Oreochromis niloticus: one gene and its partner. The protein of the gene in region 2 binds, or shares a complex with, the protein of the main gene of each other region. Links are inferred from orthologs where the notes say so. Each region holds a gene or a part of one and is shown on either strand. Other genes may lie near its edges.

Region 1 (7,463 bases), on a different chromosome or scaffold from region 2:
TACTCTGTTCCAGAATATCCTTCTAACAACGATCTTAAGAAGATCCTGACAGACCTCGCAGCCCTCCAGTCTCCAAACAGCATCATCCGAGCTGCTAATGTAAGATTAACCTCCCAAAATTTCTTCTCAGACTTCTTAAACAAGTTTCTGAAGCACTAACTTTGCTCTCTCATCGTCACAGAATTTGGCAAGAATGTGCAGCAGTGGCAAGAAGCTGGATGTTGCAGAGTGTGCAAAGTCATCATCTTAACTACCCTGGAATATGTGATGTGGCTGTTTCTACTTTTGTTCTTCTAAACCGCTCGTAACCACTAAAGTTTTCCTTTTTTGTAAGATAAAGCAATCTGTGTTTTTCTTGAAACAAAATATCGCATCGTTTCATTTTTACTCATATTAGTAAATAAAAGCACAAGCCAATTAGCCATCATTAAAACTACTTGTTTAGTATTGTGTGGTTTAAACCACCAAAAAACAAAAAAACAAAAGCTGTGACCTGTAGTGACATTGATGCCAGACATTTGGCAGTGGCTCATTTGGATCCTGTCAGCACAGTATGGGCTTTCAGTCCCATGGAAATTGACTGGCTTGTTCCAGTGCATCCTGTGAATGCTGTTTCAGATTGGGATCTGGAGAGATCAGGAAAAAACTTTGTGTATGTGTGTTCTTGAACCCTTCCTGAGCAGTTTCAGGGAGTGCTGTTGCCATTACAGGATGTGCTTGCTTCTGTGCTCTGCAACAGAATTTATGTGGGTAGTACCTTTCAGAAATCCACACGAATGGTAGAACCTGTAAGTGTTACTCACTTATCCTTGTTTTAATGTTTTGGCTTATCAGTTTGTGCAGTATAGTATAACCCAATAAACATACTGTATTGTACCATAAGAGTCTGTGCTTTGTTTATTTCAGTTAACATGAAGGAACTTTAAGTTGAATATTGCGTATGTTTTTTTTGTTTGTTTTTTCTGGAACTTTTTTTTTTTAAATTTTCAAAGCAGTTTTTCACATGATTTGTCAGTTTACAATTACCAGTTAAACCTAACGTGCACAGAACATGCTACATGAAGGAGCCAGAAGCTTCTTCCTGTGAGAGCAGCAACAAAGTCAAGTTGTAATACAAATGCTTTACACACAAATATGTAAAAAATACTTTTACATTTTTACCTGTTTTGTAACAGTCTTACATGTCCCAGAAGTGGCCCGTATGTGCTAGTCAATACTTCAAAGAACAACCATTGTATAACAAATACAATGGTTGTTCTTGATGAGTCTGCCTGTATCAACCCTACACCATGAGGCAAGTAACAAGAGTCTGAAGGTCTGCTTTTACTGGGAGGTAAAAACCTCAGGCCTCAACTCCTCCACAAAGAGGAGGGAAGACAGTGGCACATTGCAGCTCCTAAGTGCAAACGGGTATAGGGGAAGGCATGAGGAAAATCCCAATGAGTTTCTGGTCTCAGCTACAGGGAGTCTGCACTCTCAACCCCAGGTGCAAAGTCCTTTCTATATGCCTGTGCCTCCTCTGTAAACACAAGATCATGGGAGACCTTTTGGGTACCCAGTGTGGGCTGTGAATCCAGACCAGTTTGCTGCAGGACTGTAAAACTTTAAAACTTTTGCATCTGGCAAGGTTGTCATGCCCTCTGTAGTATCTTTTGCCAGAGCTTATGTGTATGTATTTGGCATGTATGTACTTGGGGTTTTTAGTGTTTGGTAGGACAAGAAATGTCCAAGATTCATTTTTCTTGTGTCATTCTAACTAATGACATAATTAGCTACTTGAAACATATTTATCAGCATCTATATATTGATATTTGTTTTCAATTAAGGTTGTAATGTTCCTGTCATGTTTGCAAAGAAATGGGAGCAACAAGCTCAAAAACCCACCCAGGACAGCATGAATAAATTCATCAGAATGGATTTTAAGATTTTAAGAAATGATATTTTTCTTGCCTCTTAATAAGGTATAATGTAAGTGGTTATTGACTGAGACTTGGGGAAACAACCATAGCGATGGAAGTCACACACTCACGAGAGAGATTCATATATTTTGTACCTTTGGAGTACATACGATTTTGTGAGAGACATCTTGAGATTTTTACTTTCTTAGTGGAAGGGGAAACATTGGTGTAAAAGGCGTACTCTGAAAATGTGGACTTGAATTCATTAACAACCAGCTGCAGTACTCTGGACAGCTTCACGGGTACCAATCGACGTACGGTAAATGCAGGGGGGAAAAGTATTTCTCAGGATCTCGCAAAAGTACGTGCACCACGCCCCCCTTCAAAATGTCTCTTGCGTGGCTCCGTACCGTAGGCAACAGCGTCACCGATCACTTGTGTGTGTGTGTGTGTGTGTGTGTGTGGGGGGGGGACACTTTACCGAAACAGGTAGACAGCAACATGACATTAACAGTTACAGAAGAACACGTCTACAGTAAAATGCATACATAAATAAATATAAATAAAGTCATCATGAAAATACCACGAGTTGTTGATTAAAAATATATAATAATATATGAAATATATATGAATATATAAAATACGAAATAAAAATGAATTACATTACAGGGAAATCAAACACTGTTAGGGCCTTTGGTGATTTCTTATTTTTCAACTTAACCCGCTTGTCTGTTTTCTCCAGTCCGGTCAGAAATTTGACCACTGTTGGGTCTCGGCGTGACTCGTGATTTAGACACCTGTAAGTACTGCGCACGCCGCCCTCCCTTTGGACCAATCACGGCCTTTATGTCACTTGCTGAGGCTGAGGCAGGAAGAAAAGAAGAGCTCTCACTCCGTCACTATTCCCAGAAATCACAAAGAGCGGGGTCTCTCCCACTCGTATTATAATGATTACAGCAGTAGCTTCTAAAACAGGGGTCTTGAACTCCAGTCCTCGAGGGCCGGTGTCCTGAAACTTTTCCATGTGTCCCTGTTGCAACACACCTAATTACAATTAGTAGTTCATTAGCAAGACTCCATAGAACTCCAGAAACCTTGGAGTCATTTTTGACCAGGACATGTCCTTCAACGCACATATTAAACAAATATGTAAGACTGCTTTCTTCCATTTGCGCAACATCTCTAAAATTAGAAATATCCTGTCTCAGAGTGATGCTGAAAAACTAGTTCATGCATTTATTACTTCCAGGCTGGACTACTGTAATTCATTATTATCAGGAAGTCCTAAAAACTCGCTGAAAAGCCTTCAGCTAATCCAAAATGCTGCAGCAAGAGTCCTGACAGGGACTAGAAAGAGAGAGCATATTTCTCCTGTTTTGGCTTCCCTTCATTGGCTTCCTGTTAAATCCAGAATTGAATTCAAAATCCTGCTCCTCACACACAAGGTCTTAAATAATCAGGCCCCATCTTATCTTAATGACCTTGTAGTACCATATCACCCTATTAGAGCACTTCGCTCTTGCACTGCAGGCCTACTTGTTGTTCCTAGAGTATTTAAAAGTAGAATGGGAGGCAGAGCCTTCAGTTTTCAGGCCCCTCTTCTGTGGAACCAACTTCCAGTTTGGATTCGGGAGACAGACACTATCTCTACTTTCAAGATTAGGCTTAAAACTTTCCTTTTTGCTAAAGCATATAGTTAGGGCTGGACCAGGTGACCCTGAATCCTCCCTTAGTTATGCTGCAATAGACGTAGGCTGCCGGGGATTCCCATGATGCATTGAGTTTTTCCCTTCCAGTCACCTTTCTCACTCACTATGTGCTAATAGACCTCTCTGCATCGAATCATATCTGTTATTAATCTCTGTCTCTCTTCCACAGCATGTCTTTCATCCTGTTTTCCTTCTTTCACCCCAACCGGTCGCAGCAGATGGCCGCCCCTCCCTGAGCCTGGTTCTGCCGGAGGTTTCTTCCTGTTAAAAGGGAGTTTTTCCTTCCCACTGTCGCCAAAGTGCTTGCTCATAGGGGGTCATATGATTGTTGGGTTTTTCTCTGTATTTATTATTGTGCTATCTACTGTACAATATAAAGCGCCTTGAGGCGACTTTTGTTGTGATTTGGCGCTATATAAATAAAATTGAATTGAATTGAATTGAACATAACTGCATGCTGAGGTGGCAATTCAGCCAGATTCATGTTACAGATGCTCGTGAGTGAATGAACACGGTGCAATAAAAGTAAATTTTTCCAAACACTTACATTTACTTAAATTTACTTGAGTAAGGTTAGGGGTTGCCACTTCAACATGCAGTTAAGTTCTATACTAATTTCATTCAGGTGTGTTGCAACAAGGACACATGGAAAAGTTTCAGGACACCGGCCCTCGGGCACTGGAGTTCGAGACCCCTGTTCTAAAACGTTAACACAGAAATATTTGTTTTTCAATAAGCTGGCATGAAATCTCTCCGCATTGTTTATTGAAGCTTTGGGAAAAGTCTCCGAAGTTGATCGGGAGTGAAACAATTCCCTCCGCTGGGATTGGGAGCTAGCTCTAATAGACGATCTTTGGTCGTAGGTTCCTCTTGCCCTTCCTGTTCACTCACAACAACAGTGATGGCGGCTGCTGCTCGGCTCTTCATTCGAGGTGCAAACTCGAAACTTTCCATCGCCCCCAGCTCTTTAGGGGTCACGCTGCTAAAACTGTCGCCGAACTGCAGCTCCCGCACAAAAACACAACGAAGGCATGCGACGCACTTTACCTTCCAGCCCGACCCCGTCCCGTCTCAGTACGGTGAGTGTCTGGCTAACCGGCTAACATGGGGGAGCGGGTCGTGTTGGATACCGCTGGAATGTTCCTCAGTCCAACCGAGAAATAAGCACAGAAACGAGCTGTCACCGTGAATTACACAATGTATGGTTAAAGGAAACAGCTGCACGTGGGGTTTTTTGTTTACTTGTTAAGTCAGCACAGAGCAGTGTCGGGTACTTCCACCGCACTATCAGCACGGGCTTGCATTAAAGTGTGCTTGGAATAATAAATATTTATTTTCACACAATAGTTCGGTTATTCAGTAACAGAGCCAGATAAACTTTATTTTTATTATGACATAAGTGGGCTGGCCAGGTTAACACTAAAATGCGAGACAGAAGCTGATCATCCGTGTGGCACACTGCTAGGAGTCCACAGAAGGTAAATGGCACTGTTTGCTGTCCCAGAGCTACTTTGGCTTTTCAGACTAATCTGGCCTTTTTGTCCATGGGCATGATCACTGGTTTGTACTGCTGTATTTGCTCTTAGGAAGACTAAATAGCCATGAAAACAGGCTTAGATAACGGTATACTTACCACCTTCATCTTTACTTTTCCATTGTTGTGAAGCTGTCCTCATCATGGAAAAGATCCTTCTGTATTATCATTTCCTCTGTGGACGGCCAGGCTCACCAGTGTGTTGTTGGTGTTTTTTTTTTTTTTAATTATTATTATCATTATTTTATTTTAGAATAAACCAAAATGGTGATTTGGTCATTTTATGTTTAATGTAGTCTCTTTGTTTTGGCCCCCCAAAGGATGCTCTGTTTCACTTACACTTACTTAAAAGCTCCTGCATCTTGTGGGTTCATAGCCACAGCGTCCATACGACTTCTTGCAATCAGGTCCAGTCTTTTTACCTGGTTAATGAATGCTGAAATAAAAAAGCAATAGCACACATCATTGCATAACACAGCCCTTGACTTATTTGTCGCTGGACAGGCGAAAGATTCCTGGTTTGATTCTGGGAGGAGACGCTGTCTCTTGGCTCAGGAAGGGTATCTGGTGTAAAACTGAGAAAATGAAACATTCAAAGCTACCTGCTGTGAATAAGGAAGTAGCTAAAAATGTATTCATCTTTTCCTTGTAGTGTGATCTAATTCCAGGCTCTAAGCTGATTCTATAATATACTCTTACTCGATCCAGAATCACAACACGGTACTAAAAATTATAGGTGGGAATCACCTGACACCCCTCAATACAGTATTATCACAATATTTTAATCTGATGTTAATGTGAATTTTTTTTAACATGTTGCAATAAGCTCAAAACATAAAGTGCAATTTCACATTGTTTCAACTGCAAATTATGTTCTCAGAGTTAAACTCTTAAACTTTGCAATTCAATGAGGTCAAGCTGGCAATACAGCAATATAATACAGCAATTAACTACTATAAATCCTTATAAATCACATATCTGTTGTTGTCTGTATAGACAGAAGGTCGAATTTAACTACTCCATTTGTGCTTTCCTGTTCTGTAGGAATACAACCAAAATACAACCAGCTGGTAGCCAGTTGGCTCGAGTCCTTTCGAGTTGTGCTCATTGATAAACATTCATTCAGATTGATGGCAACATGGTGGCAGTCTGTCTGCGTTTATAAATTAAACAGCATTTATTTGCAAACCTTCGACAACCTCTCTGAGAATGATTGCAGTTGGTTCGAGTCAGACTGCAACTGTTCTGTTGAGGCCTAGTCGTGTTCAACAGTCCAAATGCAGAGTGCACAAAAACCATTAAGATATTTGCATTTTTTATGTGTGAAGTTCTTCATTTTTTTAATTTAATTGGTTCACCTAAAGGTCCTACCCAGAAGATGAACTTGTTCCAGTCCATTACGAGTGCCTTGGACAACACTCTGGCCAGCGATCCTACCGCAGGTAAAAAGCAAGCAGACACACTCTGTAAACCTCCAGGCTGCCTAACAATCATGAAAGTATGAATCAAGCTGTCCAAGACACCAGTTATTGGAAATCTAAAAAATTCAAAGTGGCTTAATCGAAAGAGTTTTCAGTATTTTTCACTCTTGCATACTTGAGCACTCATGTTGCTGACTGTTGTTTCTCTGCAGTCATCTTTGGGGAAGATGTCGCCTTTGGTGGAGTGTTCCGATGCACAGTGGGGCTGAGGGACAAATATGGTAAGATGCTGCTTTCTAGTTTAACGCTGGCTTTAAAACAAATGAGATTTACCTGATTTGAGCGACGCATACCAATGCACGGCATCAAAAAAAATCATAACATTTTTTTTTTTTCTTTTTTCAAAGTTGTTCTTGGTTGGTATAAGGTGACCAGGAACATAATTTTGAGCTGTCTTAAGTCAGCCTTTTTCCTCATTGACGTTTGCTTGTTTTGGCAAGGAAACCAGTGAAGTTCAGGCAGCTGAACAATGGGTGCTCTGTCCTTGTTCCCTTAGTCAGCATTGTGAAGTATTGAGTAACCGTTCTTTTTCTCTCTGTTTCTACTCCATTGTTTAAAGGTTTTTCACCTTGACAATTACAATCACGAGCATCATGGAAAATCATCTCAAAAAGAACCCTGTTGTAGTCTTGGAAATAGTGCAAAGTCCGCTAAATCTTACACTCTGTGACTAAAGACTGGGTTGTATGGTAGACATTAACAATCCCTCTCAAAAGTGACACCTGAATAGTTGGAAGAAAAAAAAAATTGTTAGGAACCTGTAGTCTGTGTAATTTTCGCCACTAGATGGCAGCAAAACACTGCTGAGAATCTCACCACCCACTGCTCTTCGGAGGGGCCT
Region 2 (8,038 bases):
GACCAAACAAAGCCACATTTCATTCTTACCAGCTTCTCTGTATTGCCCAAAAACCAGATCGTTTGGATCCAGAGCAGCAGCACTGCCGATGTGTGTCCCCTCCTCACCATAGTTAGTCATGTAGAAGGAGATGCGACCCTGTAACGGACAGGGCTGGGCGGTTAATCAGACTGTAATCTCAAGTATTATGAAAACAAAGTAAGTGGCGAAAAAATATTTACTTTTTCCATTAATTTTACCTGAAACCTTTGTGTTTTGCTGTTATAAATCAAGTGCACCTCTGTCTTTTACAACTGTTTGGTGTTCTCCCTTCATAAAAACTAAAAATCACTTGCTGTTTAGTTCAGCTCAAGCCAAGATGACTAAAAGATCTGGAGGAAATAAAACTACCTGCTTGTGTCACAGGATCACTGAAGGGCTCTCGCTGGATTTCGTTCAGTAATCAGCAACAGTTGGCCTTTCAGTCAAAAACACTCCCTAGTCCTGTGTCCTCCAGAACTCCTCATTTTTATGTATTCATTTTTAATTTTAAATTATAGTTAATATAAAGGAGTCCTGCAGCAGACTGGCGACCTGTCCAGGGTGTACCCTGCCTCTCGCCCTAAAACAGTGGATAGGCGGAAATGAATGAATGAATGAATGGATAAAGAAAATACCCTTTGAGACACCAATTTTTAAAGTTCAAAAACTGCTGGTGTTGTGTTTTAAATAATCAGGTTGAGCCAGGAGATGCAGGAGGAAACATACCTGTCTTTGAGACTCATAAAGAATGCGGTCCATTGTGTTCAGCAGGGTCATCTTCTGATAAAAGTTCAAAACTGTCTCTTTGGAGAGCTGTGTTGGAGAGAAACACACAATTGACAAATTAACTTTGGCTCAACAGACTGCAGAGGTCTTAGGGGCACATTTGGGAACCAGGAGCACAGGCAGGCTGATTGTACCTGAGGGTCTTGAGAGGGGTTGATGATATTTCCCTGCCTGTCCATCACCCGGTACACTGGGATCCCAGAAATGACATTGGGCTGGATGAACTCGAGCTGATCCACAAACTCGGCTGAGGCTCCTGGAAACTGGGGCTTTTCCAGCGATGAGTCAAAGGGCTGCTGCAGCTGAACAACCTGAAAAGATTGATTACAATCATTATTTATTAAGAATCTCATTGTGGCTGTGGCAAAAAAAAGGCTCTAGGAAAAGAAAACACTGCATATCAGGTCACAAAACTCATACAAACTGTCAAGCACGGTGGTGGAGGGGTGATTTGAGCTTTTTTTGCAGCCACACAGCCGTGAACTCTTCTGTATACCAAAGTATTCTAGAGTCAAATGTGAGGCCATGTGTCTGACAACCACTGGGTCATGCAACTGGATAATACTAAGCAGAGCAGCAAATCTACAGCAGGATAGCTGAAAAAAAGGTGTTCCAACGTCCCAGTGACCTTTAACCTGACTGAGATTCTGTGGTAGGACCTTATGAGAGGTGTGCACAAACAACTTACCTGAATTTATTTTGTTAATAATATTTTTTGTATTTGTGTTGCTTCGTTGTATTTTGCTCTTTTCCCCCCCCACGGGTTTGTCCACCAGCACTTTGAACTGAATTAATAAACTGCATAAAAATGGAATTAAAAATTAAGTTTCATTGATTGATTATTAGTTTTAGTTTTATTTTTTTCAAAAGGCTAGTTTCTAATTTTAGGTAACCTTTTTAACATCTAGTTTAAGCTTTTAGTTTTGTTTTAGTTAACTACAATAACACTCGTTGAATCTTTAGACATTTTAGAAAGCTTAACTTCAGAAAGCTGAAGACAATACAATACTCTTATAAATCATGAATAAGTATGTACTTCTTACAGTGCAGTTCCATTGCTCCACTATAACAACCATTTCCAAATCTCCCTCCCATACAGATTTTAGACACTCCAAATGATTATTGATGGACCTATAAATAAATAAATTAGATTATTTTTAAAGAGTTACATACAGATTTAAGTGCTGGAGCGATCGAAGGAAATAAAATAGCAGCGAAGGCCATAGAGCAGCAACAGTTATTAAATAAAGTTGTTTTGAAAAAATGATGCATTCGAGGACATCGGATTTAAGCTTAATGCAGTTTGGATGCAAACTGCATTTCGTTGCCCTGTACCTGTGACATGTGCAATGACAATAAAGTTGAATTCTATTCTATTCTATTTCCTCCTTCACGCCCCTTGGTTCGACCAATGGAAAAGAAGCTAGCTAAGCCTTTAGCCGGTTGGCTAACTAGTCAAGTGTGAGAGTCAAAACAACAAAAATTAAAATTAGTATTTATTGCAACTAAAGTTGTTTATTAAAGATCAAACATGTATTCACTAAATATGTGAGAGTTAGTTTGACTTTTCACTGATACATTGGAGAATCGGTATAGAATTTCAGCAAGGTTGTTAGCCATGCTAGCAGCTCCGTAGCTAACCAGAATCTTTGCGCAAACAAGACATAACCCCAAAACTTATTAAAAGATAGGGTGACAATATTTCGAATTCCAAAAAAGAGGACACTTGGCCCAATCATGAAGAACTATAATAATACTGTTTGCTTAAAGAAAACTGTGCGGTTAATGAATGGTGAAATAAAAAATGTTTCCCGGCCCCTCAATGGCAGCGTTATCTCCAGTCCAGACTCCGCAGGAGCGACTTTTCCCATAATTTATTCATCGCCCTATCCAAACACTGCATCGGAGTTTTCACTTACAGTGACCCTGAAGCCTCTGCGCTGCAGCAGTCGAGATGCCTTCAGTCCTGCTGTCTGGCGGACAGCGTGGAAACAGAGCCCATACATTTTGCTCATGCTGCTCACAGCCGCCATCGGCACTCAGTAGTTGTTTGATTTAACCGCCGCTGCACACCGGTTTAGAGAAGTTACACTGTGGTGGATATGTAAAAATCTGGCCAACGGAACTGCTAATAACCACCGCTCGCTGTCCTTCCTGTTTACATCCACAGTTTACAGGCCGATAGCCGCAAACTGACTGCACCATTAAAGCCGGCTACAGTATCCTCAACATCCGGCCAGGCCTTCAAAATAAAACCTTAAGTTTAGTTGTCCGTTTTTACATATTTCATAAGTTGAAGAAATGAGCGATTAAAGATGTCGAGATTTAACACTCTTTTGTGTTAGAATAGCAATAATAAATAAATAAATAAATAAATAAATAATGCGTGGGTTTTCCAGAAAGGCAGAGTGCCAGTTTTATGAATTAAAGCTCCCCCTCCCAGTCGGGGAATTAACCTGATGAAAGTCCATTGTGTGATACTGACCTGTTAATTAAAATACTGTCACTATGTTATATGCGTCACGAAGCGCCTTGGTCGTTTTCCGGTGGCCTTTTTGGGGCGATTTTAACTTATCAAAATCAGTATTGCCTATTTTAAGACACATTGCCTGCTCAGACACAGCAACGCAGTCACATTAACAACAAACGACAGTTATTACAATGTGATATATAATACATCTTACAAAAAGAAGTAAAAGTAAAAAAAAAAAAATGAATGAAAAATTGCGCATGTGTCTTTTTGGACATACAGATCAGCTGTAACATGCCTGAAACAGTTTGTAATAAAACAGCGTTCCTCTAACGAACTCTACCTGAGATGTCAGTTATACCTAAGTTAGAGAGTCAGGGGCAGATATGCAATAGGAAAGAAAGAAAAAGAGAGAAGGGAGGATAGAGCCGTAAGCAGTATGGAAAAACTGATGAACACAAGTGTTCTTAAATACAGTCATAAAAGAACGATTTCTACGTCCTTTCAACCCTACCAAAAATTAAACCCTACTCTGCTGCCATCTTGTGGTCACAGTGCAGTAGTGCATTAATAGCAAAAGCAACGTCAGTGGCATGCACAGTAAAGAATATTATTACTTCCAGTCCCGATGATAAACCAAGTAATATCGCAGGTAGAGGCGTTGACATATTAAAATAAAGTATTTCAACTACTTGTCAAAATCTGAAAATGTCTTCGCTTCAGTTCTGAGCTAACTGATGTTGTAAATGCAGACTGCAGATAAATCAATTTTTGCAGCCACGAGTATTTATCGCCATCTAGTGGTGATAGCGCGAGCTGCAACATGGTGATTGCAATTCACATCATGCCAGTGAAAGCTCACCTGTGGAAAGCAGTAAATAAACTGATGTAGATAAAATTCCGGTGGGTGGTTATGACGAATAATGAAAAAAAAAAAAGAGAAGAAAATGATAGGTTGACACCGTTGTGTTTAAATGCAGCTGCTGCCTGCCATCTGGCGGTCATTGTGAGTAACTACACATTGTTAAACTCACAGTTTACACTATTATACGGATGCTGCACTTCCGGTACTTTCAAAATACATTAAACGTATTAAGGCAAAGTAGGGCTTCAGATTGCGTCAGGAAAACGTGAATTATGATGAAAAAATATTATTTTTTTCTTCGTTGTCATAGATATATATTACAGATCCACATTTCTTGTGAATTAACTATTTATTAAAGCTAACATTTCTTTCTCATTCTGATGTCATCAGTAAGGAGCGTAAACTACAGGGAAAACAGATGACGCCATCCGCCTGCGACAAATCTGCTTTCTCCACGATGGAGGTCTGCGGCTCCCTGACTGTTTCTTTGAGAGAGTTTGGTTGTGAACAGAGCTTGCTGTCTCGACCTGATGGCTCTGCTTCCTTCGTCCAAGGTAACACTAATTTTAGAAACTATTTATCTGGGCGTTTATTTGCCTCTTACCGCTAAACTGGACTTAAAAGACGGAGAAAGGTTAGGGAACATCTCTGGAAATTAACCTGCCACTTCAGTTACTGACATGACTTTCTTTACCTTTATGAATAAGAATAAAAGTAAAACATGCTGGGGGGGTATTGTTAATCAGGCATAATATTTACCTTTTCGCAAAACTGGTAATCTTATTTATACATATTTATATCTCGGGGTTTTAACATGCTTCGATGTGATTATGCAAATGTAATATAAGAAATATTGAACTATTTGTCAAAATAATGTAACGATGAGAATCAGGAGCGCATCTATTGTGGTGGTATGGGGTGGCATGGGGTGGCATGTGCCATCTTACCTTTGTATATGACAATGTTGTTTATTAAAATAAGGTAGCATTAACTTTGAGCCTAGCTACAACTAATTAATAAAATAAAATACATTTATTGCATAGTGTTAACCGCCCTCCAGGGGCGGATCTACTGTGCACATTTTGAATCAACACCATGGACATTTCAGATTTCAACACTTCTCTGGAGGCTTCCAAGTCACATGACCAATTTAAGATGACATAGCAACAAGATGCAGTCTCCATTTAATTTTCATTTTTGTTGAAAGTTCAAACTATGTACCAAGAAAAGTTAAAAAACTGCATTTTCTAATAACAGCGCGAAAAAAACCCACCACTTTCCTATTGGTGGAAAAATGTACCATATTGACCAATCAAAAAAAATTATCTGGCAACATGTGACATTTGTGTTTTGGGGAAAAGGGGAGAGCAATTCTACAGTCATTGGATGTGAGAGATTTGTGACATTTAACGTGTTTGGAGTGTGTAGTTAATGTAAAGTTAGTGTGTTGTGTAGTTCTTTGTTTTGTTTTTATGTGTCAAAACAATGAGGACACTAGTGATTGTCACAGTTGCTGCCAAAAGCCATCAAAGGCAGATTGCAGCGTAAACGCTGTCTCCAGGTGAAAAACAGTGATACGCATACTGTTGTTAGACCTGCAGGTTTCAGGTCTGTGATGTGCTCCTCTTTCTTGTGGTGGACAGAAACTTTCTTTTGGAGTGGCACAAATAATTTGTGTGGCATCTTATTGTGACACCTGTTCTGTAATTATAGTTTTAGTAGTTGTACAAAAATGTCTGAGGCATTGGCTGCATTATTAGGTAAATAGTTGCATGTATCTTTATTCTTTGCAAGATTTGTGCAGGCGTTTTTAAAATTTACAATTTATATTTGCAATTCTGAAACATTTTGGCGTTTTATTTGTTTTGTTTTTTGTTTTTTACAGTAAAACCTTTTTCCTGCTCAGATTTTTTTGGGGATGTAAATTCAGACATGTGAGATTGTGCTGAAAAGAATGATACCAAACAAGACAAGGCAAATAGTTTTTAAAGGTGAAATGTAAAGGTAAAATTAGTAAGTAGTCAAAAATGGCCAATAATATCCTGGACATCAGAGGGTTAACCTAATAAATCATGAAAAATTGTGGTGAAAACTTTTTCATGACAGTGCAGACTTCTGGCAATTTGTGTAAATTAAAGCCTGTAACAATTTGATTATTTCTAATTTTAAAAAGAGTGTGAAACTAACCGAACTGAACTTCTAACTGAACCATCTCATGTCTTGTACCTCTATGTATTTTATACTTAATGGCCAAATGCCTATTTATTATATAGGCTATACAGTACATCAAATCAAAATGTACATGTTTTATGTAACTGAAATGTTTAATTATTTGGGCTAAAGAAAATAAGAAAGTTACAGACTATGTTTATATGAAATGTGTATACTTACTGCATTTGATGTATTTTAAACATATATAATGTCTGTCACAGAATGTAACACCTATGTGGACAATAAGACCAAGGTTCAGGGCATGGGCATGGGGATGACTCAGTATCCTTCTGTAATTTGTGTTTATACTTTTACCTTTAATATTCAGATTATTACTCCAGAATGATTCAGAGATGAGCCCAGCACCCTGTGTACCCCGCCTCTCGCCCTATGATAGCTGATAATGATAAGCAGAAATGGATGGATGGGCTGATTCAGTGTCTTTAAAAAATGTCTTAAGAATAAATGTGAAATTTACATGATGAGACTTTGTGACATCAGCTTTAGTTCTCTTATTAAAAGCTTGTTCTAAATAGGGTGTCTGCGTTTGAGTCCCCTCTTTAAAAACTACATGTGCTGTGAGCATATTTACTGGGTGTCGTACTGCTTTCAATGATTTGATGTTACTGCTTTTCCCCTCCTAGATGTCTGTTTATGTGGGGAAAGACATCATTAATGCTCCAGTGTTATTTATTGAAAAATGCTCCTTTTTGTTCTTGTTTGAAGGAGACACGAGTGTGATGGCTGGAGTGTACGGACCAGCTGAGGTCAAAGTCAGCAAGGAGATCTATGACCGGGCGACCCTGGAGGTGTTGGTACAGCCCAAAGTGGGGTTGCCAAGTGAGTTTTTCTTTTTAAGGGGTAAAAAATTTCATTATGCAGCGTTGCTTATTTTATTTTAGGGAAATAGACTTTTTGCATCCTGATATCTACAAGAATGTTTCAGAGGTTTCTGCTGTGGAAAAAGCTGCTATACCACAGCTCACCACAGGGTGGGGTACGTGAGCTTTCTGCTCACATTAAGTTTTTTTATACCTCGATTTGTTTGTTTTGTAGGTGTAAGGGAACGATCACAAGAGCAGTGTGTGCGAGAAACCTGTGAGGCTTCTCTGCTCCTGACGCTCCATCCACGCTCCTCGCTCACTCTCATTCTTCAGGTCCTGCATGATGATGGTTCAGTATCCTTCTGTAAAACTCTGCAAGCTTTGGGGTTTATATCCAATCTGCAAGTAGGGTTCTAAAATTGAGATGTTTCCTGTGAGTGTTCTTCCTTACCTGTTCCTCAGCTGCTGTCTTGCTGTTTGAATGCTGCATGTATGGCTCTTATGGATGCAGGATTGCCCATGAGTTGCCTCTTCTGTGGAGTGACTTGTGCCATCAGCACAGATGGGCAAATCATCACAGATCCCACTGCAGCTCAGGAAAAGGTAAATCTAAGGCTTTTATAATGTTGGGTGACCAAATTGATCCCAAAACACTCTGAAAGTGGCTTTTGCCAAATTTCCTAAGAACTTCTCAAACAAATGTCACAGAAAATGTAGATCTTTTTCATCCCACTTTGATATTAAGTGGGCCATACCACTAAAACTCTCTTTTCTATCAGGAAGTTCAATCCTTTGAAATATCTTAATATAAGGAAAAGAAATTTTATTTTAACAGTACGTTTCAGTTTTTCTACATAAAAC

Evidence for each region.
Region 1: the proteins of bckdha (region 2) and bckdhb are in contact, whole or in part, in a crystal structure (PDB 1V16), measured with the Homo sapiens proteins. The link is inferred for Oreochromis niloticus from reciprocal best matches to the Homo sapiens genes BCKDHA and BCKDHB. Residues at the interface, in NP_000700.1 of Homo sapiens: Phe155, Leu185, Gly186, Lys187, Arg189, Gln190, Gly196, Cys197, Lys198, Phe202, Val203, Thr204, Ser206, Pro208, Thr211, Pro214, Gln215, Val217, Gly218, Ala219, Tyr221, Ala222, Arg225, Gly244, Asp245, Ala248, Asn251, Phe252, Thr255, Leu256; in NP_000047.1 of Homo sapiens: Pro89, Thr90, Val92, Asp117, Arg118, Phe120, Asn121, Thr122, Pro123, Cys125, Gln127, Gly128, Ile129, Gly131, Phe132, Ile134, Gly135, Ile136, Val138, Thr139, Asp158, Gln159, Asn162, Glu163, Ala165, Tyr167, Arg168, Tyr169, Arg170, Ser171.

What each region holds. Positions count from the first base shown.
Region 1 is NC_031976.2:14,227,999-14,235,461, forward strand, and holds the start of bckdhb (2-oxoisovalerate dehydrogenase subunit beta, mitochondrial), read left to right. Parts: upstream 1-4,457; 5' UTR 4,458-4,508; coding exon 4,509-4,686; intron 4,687-6,505; coding exon 6,506-6,583; intron 6,584-6,774; coding exon 6,775-6,843; intron 6,844-7,463. Other genes in the region: dual specificity protein kinase Ttk, read left to right, coding at 14-99, 182-250. UniProt on the Homo sapiens protein: Together with BCKDHA forms the heterotetrameric E1 subunit of the mitochondrial branched-chain alpha-ketoacid dehydrogenase (BCKD) complex.
Region 2 is NC_031979.2:33,448,669-33,456,706, forward strand, and holds the start of bckdha (2-oxoisovalerate dehydrogenase subunit alpha, mitochondrial), read right to left. Parts: upstream 3,027-8,038; 5' UTR 2,841-3,026; coding exon 2,727-2,840; intron 1,119-2,726; coding exon 942-1,118; intron 835-941; coding exon 748-834; intron 139-747; coding exon 30-138; intron 1-29. Other genes in the region: exosc5 (exosome complex component RRP46), read left to right, coding at 4,561-4,696, 7,080-7,193, 7,410-7,531, 7,640-7,780. UniProt on the Homo sapiens protein: Together with BCKDHB forms the heterotetrameric E1 subunit of the mitochondrial branched-chain alpha-ketoacid dehydrogenase (BCKD) complex.